Linked DNA regions of Lepisosteus oculatus. The protein of the gene in region 1 interacts with the protein of each later gene in a pairwise test. Links are inferred from orthologs where the notes say so. Each region holds a gene or a part of one and is shown in the gene's direction. Other genes may lie near its edges.

The links.
Region 2: the proteins of mal2 (region 1) and ndrg4 interact in binary tests that used the Homo sapiens proteins (3 or more experiments, as listed by UniProt). The two-hybrid records come from large-scale screens. The link is inferred for Lepisosteus oculatus from reciprocal best matches to the Homo sapiens genes MAL2 and NDRG4.
Region 3: the proteins of mal2 (region 1) and ptpn9a interact in binary tests that used the Homo sapiens proteins (3 or more experiments, as listed by UniProt). The two-hybrid records come from large-scale screens. The link is inferred for Lepisosteus oculatus from reciprocal best matches to the Homo sapiens genes MAL2 and PTPN9.

Annotation. Positions count from the first base shown.
Region 1 is NC_090705.1:11,455,271-11,459,025, reverse strand, and holds the start of mal2 (protein MAL2), read left to right. Parts: upstream 1-843; 5' UTR 844-980; coding exon 981-1,094; intron 1,095-2,184; coding exon 2,185-2,355; intron 2,356-3,755. UniProt on the Homo sapiens protein: Member of the machinery of polarized transport. Required for the indirect transcytotic route at the step of the egress of the transcytosing cargo from perinuclear endosomes in order for it to travel to the apical surface via a raft-dependent pathway.
Region 2 is NC_090715.1:12,051,393-12,055,147, reverse strand, and holds the start of ndrg4 (protein NDRG4), read left to right. Parts: upstream 1-863; 5' UTR 864-1,092; intron 1,093-3,755. UniProt on the Homo sapiens protein: Contributes to the maintenance of intracerebral BDNF levels within the normal range, which is necessary for the preservation of spatial learning and the resistance to neuronal cell death caused by ischemic stress.
Region 3 is NC_090700.1:60,676,269-60,680,023, reverse strand, and holds the start of ptpn9a (tyrosine-protein phosphatase non-receptor type 9), read left to right. Parts: upstream 1-1,011; 5' UTR 1,012-1,640; coding exon 1,641-1,673; intron 1,674-3,755. UniProt on the Homo sapiens protein: Protein-tyrosine phosphatase that could participate in the transfer of hydrophobic ligands or in functions of the Golgi apparatus.

The DNA of each region.
Region 1 (3,755 bases):
AGAATACACTGTATTTTTATTTTAAAACTTTTTTAAAAAAATTAACATTATTAAAAAGAATATGTATTTTTTAAATTCCTTTGGTAATGGACTGCAATATTCTCATTTTTTGTATATTTGTAGTATAATGTACTGGTGTCCATAGGATGATATCTCTTGAAAATTCATTTGTAACTTAACTGTGGTTCTCTATACACTTCAAGCCAGTCACGTCCGTGTTCTTGCCATAATATTATTTTTTTAACTCAAAAGAATATCTATAAAATACTTCAAGAAGGTAGGTGCGTCAGCATGCGTAGTCTGCAAAGAAACACGTAAAGGTTTGTGGTGAAAAGGTTCCATGCTGAAAACAGAAGACAATAAACACAATGCCAATTATCAGCAAAATAAGAAACAACAAGCCAAAAGAAAAACACACTCGAAGAAGGCACCCCAGCCAAAACATTGTTTCCTCTCATCTTTTCAGCGTGGAATAAATCTTCAGGTAGGTAGCTGCGTCAGCATGCGTAGGCTGAAAAAGAACAAGTAATAGGTTTATTCCATGCTGAAAAAAAAAGAAAAAGAGAAAGAAGAAGAAAGAAAACACTTTGTGTTTTTTCTTCTTTTTTCCCAGCATGGAATAAACCTATTACTTGTTCCTTTGGAATAAATCTTTACTTGTTCCTCATCTATAAAATGTGCGTGCTTCTCTATAAACGTCACTGATACTATTACAAGTGAGCAACAAGTCGTAATTCATTTGTTTACCCCGGTTTTGATGGCTAAACATACGTACTTCGGCTACTCCAGGATTATTTATGACAGTCTATACCCGCTCTTCACGTACTCCAGGTCTCCTTCAAAGAGACGCGGTGTCGCTGCTCCGAACGGACAGAATGGGCGTGGCCGCGCACCTGTTGGGCTGCGAGGACACGTGACTCGGCAGGAATTTGATTTGGATCTTGACCCTGTTGAACAGAAACCTCTGAATTAAGAAAAGGATGTCTGTACCCGCAAATTCGCCGGCTACGTCCTTCCCAGCCGCTACAATTTCTTTGCCTACGGGACCTGAGGTGCTGAGAACGTACTCGGGGGCTCTCGTCTGCTTAGAAATAGTAAGTGTGTACAAACTCTGAACACCTTTCCTTACAAACGTTAGCCACTCGCCGTGGTTCGCTAGTACATTCGAGTGTGTGTTTTCATATTCCAGACAAGAAGCACCGAGTGAAACGATCTCGTCTCTGCTTCTTCTTAATATTGGAAGTACCGATGAGGCATTTGGCTTTTTTGCTTTTGATAGCAGCGGCGCAAGAACTCGCAAGAAACGTGGTGCTTTCTGTTAAGTTCATGAGGTGATGACAGCGCTCCGACATTACATGTAAAATGAAGATTTCGAGAACCCAGCTAAGAGGATTAGCCCTGCCACTCCCACATTTAAAATAACACGGAGGTCTGGAAAACTTGCCGTACAATTGAATGTGCACGGCTGTGGAAGATCCTCTCCGGTGACATTTGGTGTTTTTCCGGTGGATGGTATACTTTTAATATTTACCGAAGTGTGTACAACATAATGTATTATAACTTATTCAGCTTTGTTATTAAATACCTAAACAACTCATCTGAAGCTGTTGTTTAAGAAGGTATTGTTGCAGGATAGGCTGGGCAGTACTAAATGCAAGATTTACCTGGTTCTGCGTGGTACAATAATTAACATTTCAACGGTAAGAACTGACCTAATTACAAGCTTGCGTTGGTGTAACACTGTAAAACCACCACACTTCATAATGACGAAAGCAATGAGAACTTTTTACTAATGCTTGGTGTAAGAACGACAAAGTCACTTGAAGACCTTATAAAAAATACCGGGGTCTTAAACTTAACATTCTTCTAATACTTATTGGACACATTGTAAACATTACTCACAAAGCCTACAGTCTAGGACTCCAGATCAAAATGGAGAAAAGTATCTTATGTATTTCTTTGTACACAGGTGATGTATGAGTGCACAATGTCTGAAAGAGACATTTAAAAGTGAAAATTCTATTAGCTCTAGTTGGTTTTTTTTGCCTGTTAATATTTGAAAATGAAAATAGTGAAAAAGCAGCTGGTGAAATATCCAAAAGGATGATTTTTATTTTTTTCCTAATGACAAAGAAAGCTATTTATAGTAGTACATGTTAAAAGAAGTTTTCTTTTCTCATGCAGGTCTTCGGAGGTCTGGTATGGATTCTTGTGGCCTCTTCCAATGTCCCTGTGCCTCTGTTACAAGGCTGGGTTATGTTTGTGTCCGTAACCATGTTTACCTTCTCCACTGCATACCTCCTTGTCTTTCTCCTGGGCTTTGTTGACAGGATCAACACTGACTGGAATTTCCTGGTAAGAAGTTTTACATTTATTTCTTTGGTGAACTGAAAATGGCTTGCAGGCACCAAACAGCAAAGAATCCCAGTTGCATTCTTTGCAGAAGAAAAAAAAAGCACAACAATATTCAGTGTTTTGCGATTCTGTCGCCCATGTGACAATAAGGAAGTAATCAGTGACCCTTAGGAGAGCAGATGACAGTATCTACTTTTTGTTGGACATTTTTAGTCCCCTCCTTAAGTTATGCTTATTTAAAATGATGTGCTGCCATTTAGTGTTGACATGTAACAATTATTACAGCAAAAAGGTTTTAAAAAATTGTTTACTTGGGTAAATATAAAGAGAGGACAATGGTGAAGTATACAGGATTCATGGTACAGTTCTGATTTAGAAGGCTTTCCAGAAGCAATTACTGATAGTATGTAAGGGATAGTATGGCAAATACGTATGAATCAGTTCCATAAGTAAAATGCTTTTCCCTGATCAATGAGATCAGGCGATGGTAATTATCAGTTATTATGATATCATACTCAGTTTTTAGGTACCATTTGTTAGTATGTTCTGTTGTTGACACAGAACTATAGAACATTCTGTCATTTCCAAAGGTTAAGAACCATGAACCTCTTTGAAGGCAACACCATGTTTTACTTATTTTCTATAAGAAGTTTCAGAACACTGCATTTACTTTTATATAATAATATTTACTTCTTCTAACACTTTAGATAAAACATACAGGTATAGTATACCAGCTATGACCCCTGAGACTTGAGACTTAGCTGAAAATGGAGCTAAAAACATGCTTTGATTTCCACTGGCTGTCTTCAGTATGCGCTTAAACATGTTGATGTGGAATTTTAGCCCATCCTTACTGTGACAAAAATCCTTGACAAAAATCAAAAGTTTTATTGCGTTTGTTTTAATTATAAGTTGTAGCGGACACTGAATTTAATCTCTGTCTGTGACTCTGGGCACCTGCCCAGGGAGGTGTAAGACACTTGAGTGCTGGGGTGTGTCATTATAACAGTCTCCTCTCCCCCAAGGCAACCTGTTTTATAAACTGTTCATCGCTCTTCCTTGGGCAGTAATCCTATGTAAATGGGTTTATCACTCATGAGTTTTTTATCCATGTAAAAACCCCATGAAAAAAAAAACTTCTTACAAATGTTTTGGGAATTCAAAGTGATGTACAGTATAGTACCAGACATGCCAATGAAAAAGGAGACCTTCTTTGTCCTGGTGGCATTCGGCTTGTTGTGCACTAAGGAAATAAGAAAATGAAACTTTCTTAGTTGCCATTAGTATACTCTTAAGATTATTAATTCAGTATTATAATTTTAGCATCATTTGCTGAGTGTTCAATAAGCTTAAAATAGGTATCATTGATAGATTATAATTTTGTGAGCTACTGTGTATAA
Region 2 (3,755 bases), on another chromosome or scaffold:
TTCAGGGAAAGGAGAACAAAAACAGCCCTGGGTTGAGTCTGCCTGTGCAAATACAGAAAAGCCACAGTAACTTGCAGGAGAGGCATCTTGATCAATCCCTCTGTACTGTGTGTTTTAAAAAAATGCCTCCAGAACTCCAGAGTTGTGGAATGACCAACATAGATTAATGTTTTTTTTTCAGGTACAATGAAAAGTCACAAAAATGCTGACTTCATGTAGACTTCATTATTATGATTATAAGTGTCTTATTTCTCAAGCAAAAAAAAAATTGCTGTAAATATTTTAGGTGTTCAGGTTCCTTGTTGTTTAAAACTTGGTAGCAGTGTGTCATAGACGGAGATATATCAACATAAAGATGCTGCTGCAAGATTAGCATGCCCCAGAAGGGCCTGAGGCCTAACAAGTCTCAATTCTAGTTTCAAATGCATGTTACATAACATGCAACAATACCAATAGGAGTTTAAAAGCAAGGAGACTATCGCCAGCACGAAACTGCTGTTTCACAATTAACAATCTAGTGAGATATACAGCACGAGGGCAGAAAAATGAGCTTTTAGTAGAAATCACAGAGAAACATGATCTCAGATGGAGAACTCGAGGGGAGAATGAGGTACAGTATTGTAGCAGCAAATGTGAAAGACAGGCTAATTTATAATTAACTCTGGGGGGGGGTGTTAGACATGCACAAAAATTTTCACCTAAACCATTTTATAATGAAAACACTCCTAAGTGCCTGTGTGGGTGTTATTTTTTTTTGCTCTGCTTTCATCTCCCTGATTCGTTTGAGACTGGTGCCAGAGAGCTGCCTGTCGCAGTCTAGGTCTCTTCGTGGAAGTAGCCACCTCTCTCTCTCTCCCCTCCCTCCCTCTCTCTCCCTCTCATCTCCAGCCTCACAGAGCAGGGGGAGTCTGCACACTCGTCAGTTCCCCTGCCGCATCACCACAGACGCACGTGCTTTCTGTTTATTGCCTCTCAGAACAAGCCACCCAGGCGCGTTCTCCCAGGGTAGGCTGTTCCTCGCACACAGAGGCCGAGGACGAGAGAACAGGAGACACGAGCACAAAGAAACCAGCCTAAACCACATCACAACAGGTAGGAGACTTTATTTATCATCTGCATGGCGATCAGCTGTGGGCTTTAAACTGCACATTCTGTTCAGCACCGTGGAGTTATTTTTAATTTGAATTCTTTAATCTGGATGTGCTGCCGGTATGATCAGGGGAGCTGTATTGCAGTCTTACACCCAGATTTCTGAGCTCATGTGTTACATACTAGTCCATAATGGGCAAGACTGGCATGGCGTCAGTGTTCCACGATCTGCGATGGCATCAGGACACCATCAGGTGAATTAATTAACCCCTGAAGTTCTGCTTTAAATGGGAAATCTAAACACTGGATATGTATCAAAGTAAAGACCTTATCAGAATACCCTCTGTAATGCCATGCTTCTCCTCTGGCTAAACAGGAGATTCTGAAATTCAACAATACAAATTTTAGTTTTGAATCCAGTGTCTCTTATTTTTACTGGTTTTATAAATATTGAAGTGACGGGCAACTTTGTCAAAATGTTCGTAAAGCACAGCTCAGTTTATCAAGTGGAATACAGGATATACACAATTCCTCGTTAAGTGGTTTCTTTTTATAAGCAAAGAGCTAAACACTTCTAAATTGTTAGGAGGCATTTAGGTTAAAGCTGTTGTTCTGGGGATATAAGTTTGGCAGGAGGAGATTGCTATGTACAGCACTGAAATAAAAAAAATATTGCACAATAAATTGCTTGAGAGATGTGACATTTCTGGATTATTGAAAAAAAACAATTTAAAAACCTTCACAGGCCCTGTTTTTCATCTGCCTTAATTCACAAGCAACGTTTTTTATTTGCTAGTATCAGATTATCTGGAGCCCCACATGGGGCTGTGATGGTGTAAGGGAATCTTCAATGAAAACCTTTATTAAAAAAACATTATACAAAGGAAAGATCTGGATGAACATAAAGATATTTAACTCTTTCTCCATTTCAAGAATCCAATATTGTTTGGAAAACATGAAAGAAAATGATCGTGAAGCTGTCCGATTTAAAATTTCTTAATTAGTATTTACATGCAAACTATGTGATATTTGTAAAGATATCTGAAATAATTTGTATGAAGCTGCTTTTAATCCATCTAACATAATACAGGCTGGATATGTGATGCAAGAGTGACATGCTTGATTAAAAAAGATCAAACCAAAGTCATTTACATAGCAAATGTTGGAAGGGGTTTGTTTTTAACAGACTAGTCTTTGTGAAATCTACTGGGAAATCAGGAATACATCTAAGGAGAAATAGTTGAATATTTTCCAGATTCTGTTGCATGAAAAGTATAAAAACCCTTTATCTATACAACTCGCTAAACACAACAATCGTGTTAATTAGAAGTAGTATGTCTCAAATAATTACATTTTTTTAATTTAATTTTTATAGAATGCTCAACTACCCCTTCTGTTTCTTTATTCTCTTATTCTTCACTATCCCCAAGTCCTCATGCTCCCAAACGTGTACTGTAAGTAGTAGAGTAATTCCTTGAATATGACGGATATTAACCGTCAATCAGATAACTGAAAGTAGCAGTGCTGCATTGCCCACAGGAAGGTAGCCCTGATATTAACCAAGCATATACTGTAGGTGCGCAGTCAATCACAGAAATGCCTTCTGAGTTTTATTGTTAGAGGTGCCCCCTGCTGGGCCAACCTGCTCCTGCAGTGCCGGCGTCCTCAGCTAGGTTGGTGGTATAGTATGACCGGACACTGCCGGACAAAGTCAGCACCACCACACAACACCACCCGGGATTTCTGGGACCCGTCAACACTCTGGAATGAGAGACCAATATCAGGGGATGAGCCGCTTGTGGGTTCAGAAGAGTTTGATATGGAAAACTCTGGCGATGAAATCCCTCTTGCTTCTGTTCCTGGGCAATCACAGCTCTGCAGGCTTTCAGATAATCAGATGGGACATCAAAGCTTTAAATCAAGCTGTCATTTTGATCAATAAGGCAGAGCGAATCCCCATGTCACCCTGTACCTGGAGACCCAGGAGTGAGTATTTCTACTCTTATTTGATTTTCATGCCGCTAGGAAGACATGCAACCCGACAGCATAGATGCCTAGTCAATCCCACCTTTTGAGGCTTTTGAGCTTCAGGCTGTGATGCCCAGGATGTTTCAATTGATTTTCTTTTCTTGACTTCGTTTTTTTGTCATCCCACTCTCTCACTGTGACACGTCCAGGCAGATTTAATATCTCTTAAGAAGACGACCATCCAATTACGTCTATGTTGCACAATCTGAAGAAGAAAGCATATGCAATTGAGTTCTTTAACAGAATTCTGAATGTTATATTTTTAATACAGTTGTAAATTATTTAGTGATCTCTCTATAAAAGGTGACTTGGATAACATTGTATTTATAATCTTTTGTGTATATACAGTAGCACCTTTCATGACATCATGACATGATCTGCAGCACATTAAGCAAAAGCATTAGAAACCTATTGGATTAATACCCATTTTAATACAATTAATAGATTTAAAAGCTAGAGAATATTTTTAAATTTAAATGATATAGGTGTAGGCGGAGTTAACTGTACAATGATATATTCAAGGTGTCCTGTAGCATTTTTAATTTTCTTCTGAAATCCACAATCAGAGCAATTGCTGTGCTGTTAATATAAACTACACAATGGCTGTGTAAAGTGACATCATATCATATATAATGTAT
Region 3 (3,755 bases), on another chromosome or scaffold:
TATACTTCCTTTAGAAAAGGGTTGATCCGTAAATATGTTACTTGCACGAACAACTTCTCATTTAACCACGGTCCTTTTCATTTTTCTTTTAGGTCCTCGGAATCATAGAATCCCAGAACAGGATATTTTCTGAAACGAAATTAACATGTGAATTGAGCGCTAACACTGTACGAATAAAGACGTAAATTGTGAGCTAAATCCTTATTAAATTATTGTTGTTGCCAATTACCGCTGGGTTGTGACAAAATAAACCTTCTTTTTTTAAAAAAACGTAATTTTTATTTTCCACTTTACTTGTTAATAATTGTCTCTCAAAAGCTGCACCTAGTATTAATAGTAGTTTATCTGTAATTTGCACTCCATGCACACCAATCAAAGATCAGCTGTGTTCATCTGTAACGGGACAACGCCTTTACTTAATCAGCAGGCTGTCAAACTAGGACAATAGAAATAGAAAATTGAGATTTTAAATACGATAACGAGATTTAACCTGGAATGAAAACATATACATTCATAATCTGGGTTTCTTTAAAATGCTCCTTTTGTCTTACATTGTCTGGCAATGATGATTTCAGGTAGCTTTACATTTGACGTTTAGCATTTGCGGTTGAAAATTACATAATCGAATAAAACCGAGATTTTGAACCACATCTACAATAAGAGTCTTGTTATAAATTATTAATGTAAAGACGAATTTCCATATTGAAATGTCCACGTGGGTTGTATCTCTAAGTACAAAATGGTGCGGACGCACACTTAGAAATCCATTTTTCATTTAGTCTGGCCTTGTGCGACTAGGGGGAACAGTACATAAAGGATAATGGTATTTGTACCAAAAGTCGTTTAGGTGTTGTGGTTCATCTGGGAGAAATCCAGTTCTGTATGTGTACACGGTTATCAGTACAAACATAATGTATGTTTCTTATTAAACACGTTTGCCTTTTCTGGCCAATGAGGGAATATCAAGGGGAGTTGCAATTAACTGCGAAGTAGGTTTGAGCTACCGGCGTTGGATAACAGGGATATCGCCTGCGCGATGGGCCCAAGCATTTTTATGAATGAAGGAGAGAGCGCTTGGCAGTCGAGTTTTATAGCTCGAAAGTTGTTGTGTTTAGTGTAACCAGTAGGGGAGTCGGAGTTCTGTGACTGAGGTCTTCCCTTCTGAAGAAATAAACTGCCGATGGATTCAAGCTTGCAAGGCAGCAAACTCAGGAATGCTTCAAAATAATCGCAGAGTGATGAAGGTTAACGGGGAAATGTGGACTTTTATTTTATTTGCGATACGCCATCGAGAAGCAGCATGAATTCGTAGGCTTCTAGTTTTCTACGGAGTGGAGTATTTTTTCGGAGGACCAAACTGAGCTCGTTTTTAAATATATATAAAAACACTTTTTATTTGCAGGAACTATTTAAACGTCTGTTGCCTTTTATTTACGCTCTGGAGGAAATAAGCTTAACATCTACACCCTATTTTTGTAGCGATGCGTAATATGTTGATATACATTGTTGTTTCGGGTTAAAGTAGCGAGTTATTTTCTTTTCCGACAAAGAGTGGGACGACTGTTGATTAACCCAATTCAAAGAACCTGTAGTCGTATACAAAAACAAGGAAGAGTTTCGAAATTGCATCAACGAAAGGAATGGCAGCTCATTTAACAGCAGAAGAGGAGCAGGTAATGTTCGCGTTTTTAACGAAAGTCTTGAAATACATATTTAAAATAACATCGGAACTTCTAAGCTTTACAGGAAGCTCTTTAGTTTTATTGAGTATTGAAACTTAATGTGCATTTTAAATGTATTTCTTTTCACGTGTATTTGTACACATACGCGGGTACTATGTACATGAGGCTTTAAAAGTTTTAATAAGATGTTAGATGCTGCAACACTGTTTTCACAGCGCCATGTCTCTTTATGACTGGCCTGTTAATGGACGTTTCCGCTTTCTTTATTAAAACGCATTGCGTATTTTACATTTTACTCATTTGATGGGAAGTGCTAATGATCAATTTTGCGAATATGAGTCGTAAAAAGTTGTTTTGGTTCTGACGCACTGTTCTCCGGCCTACAGACCACGAAAACACGAGGCAAGACATTTTGTGATCCCGTTTCATTTTGTATCTGAGACATTGTTGTGTATTGTTCAGGGGAGAAGGGAGCTAAAATGTATCTTCCTTGGTTGAATCAGGGGCTTGCAACTAGGTGTAGATCGTTTGAATTAAACAAAAAACACATATTTTTGGTTTCCTTTTATTTTGTCGCTGCGGGGGTTGGTAGACTTTAGTTTAACTGCTTCGGTGCCAGTCTCCATCTCGTCGGAGAAGCAGTTTTGGGCTGAGGTGGACTAAGGACCACAGCCGGGGATGTGCCTGTTATGTTCAGTGTCATTTCTATGGCTGTGAAACATTAGAAATTACATTACTGGAACCTTAAACAAAGTAGGAATTTACAAACGTGTTCGTTTTTACCTACAAAACCGTGATTTACGTATTAAGATCTACTATTCTTGATTCATTTAAAGACTCAGTTTCAGTCCTGTTTAGTCTAAAACTTTATTTTTACCGCATACGGATCACGATATATGACTGTAGACCCTTGGCTGTTTCCACTAGAAGGAAATTGAGCTAATTTTATTTCTTCTTCCTCTGCTAAAAAATGAATGTAAGCTTAAAGGATTTTTTGTTTAATGGGAAATCGCATTTTCCTGTTTTTATGTATCGATTAAACTAGTGATTTCATTCCATTGACATACTTTTTCACATACGCTTTCAAATAGTAAAAGAGTAAAACAAACAAAATGCTGCACCTGACTAGCTATCCTGCTCTTGAATCATTTATTGCACATGATGCCTTCACGCAGCAAACGAATACCTATTCGTTGTGGTGTGTTTTCAGTATGGTTTTCATCCAAAAGCCATCTAAAAAAAGGATTTCTCATACGACAGTTTTCACTGCATTTTTTTCACGTTATAAACTCTTATTTTGACGATCTTGTATGTGTTCTGTTAGATTGAAGTAAGACAGTGGGGTAGCAAAGCTAATGGTAGGATACTGTAACTCTTTTCTTGCTTTGCTTTTACCTCTCAGCCCTTTGAGAATTTGACCCTTTGAAAGTGTCGTTTTGTTTTTGTGGCCTGCAGTTTTGTTTTCCGGACGATCAGCCTGATGGCACTCTGCATTGTTTGAAGGCACTGCATCCAAACCTTTTCAATAAACATTTTTAAATGTTAATATTGTATTCTGCTTTGCTGCAGGAATGCCAGGCACGTTACTAAAACACTTGGCTTTCATTCAGACAGTCCGTTTCCGAGCTTGCAGCTGTAATCGGCTAACAGCTGGCAGGTTTTTGTCCGTGATACCATTTCGTCCAGCTCCTTAATGTCATTCTTTTCGCCGTTGGGGCTCTAATCCACTTTTCCCATCCCATCGCCTCATCTGGCAAGCAGCTTTATGTGGGTACTTCATTTCCGAGAGTCTGTCTGCAGTGGAAGTGTGTCCGCTGGAAATTCGATCCCAGATTCCCTGTGTCCGGACATCAGGGCCCCTTGGGAACTTCGTCAACACGGGGAACTGCGCACTCAAGCAGCTGTTAAAAGCGTTAAAATGAGCTGTGTGTGTTTGGAGGGGATACAGCCAGCTCCCAGGAAGCAGAGGGTGAATGACGCATTTAACCTTTTATCCAAGCATATTATTGACTTGTGCCAACATTGCAGACAGTGTCCGGAATTTAGCCCAGTCATTCACAAGTTTCCACTCTG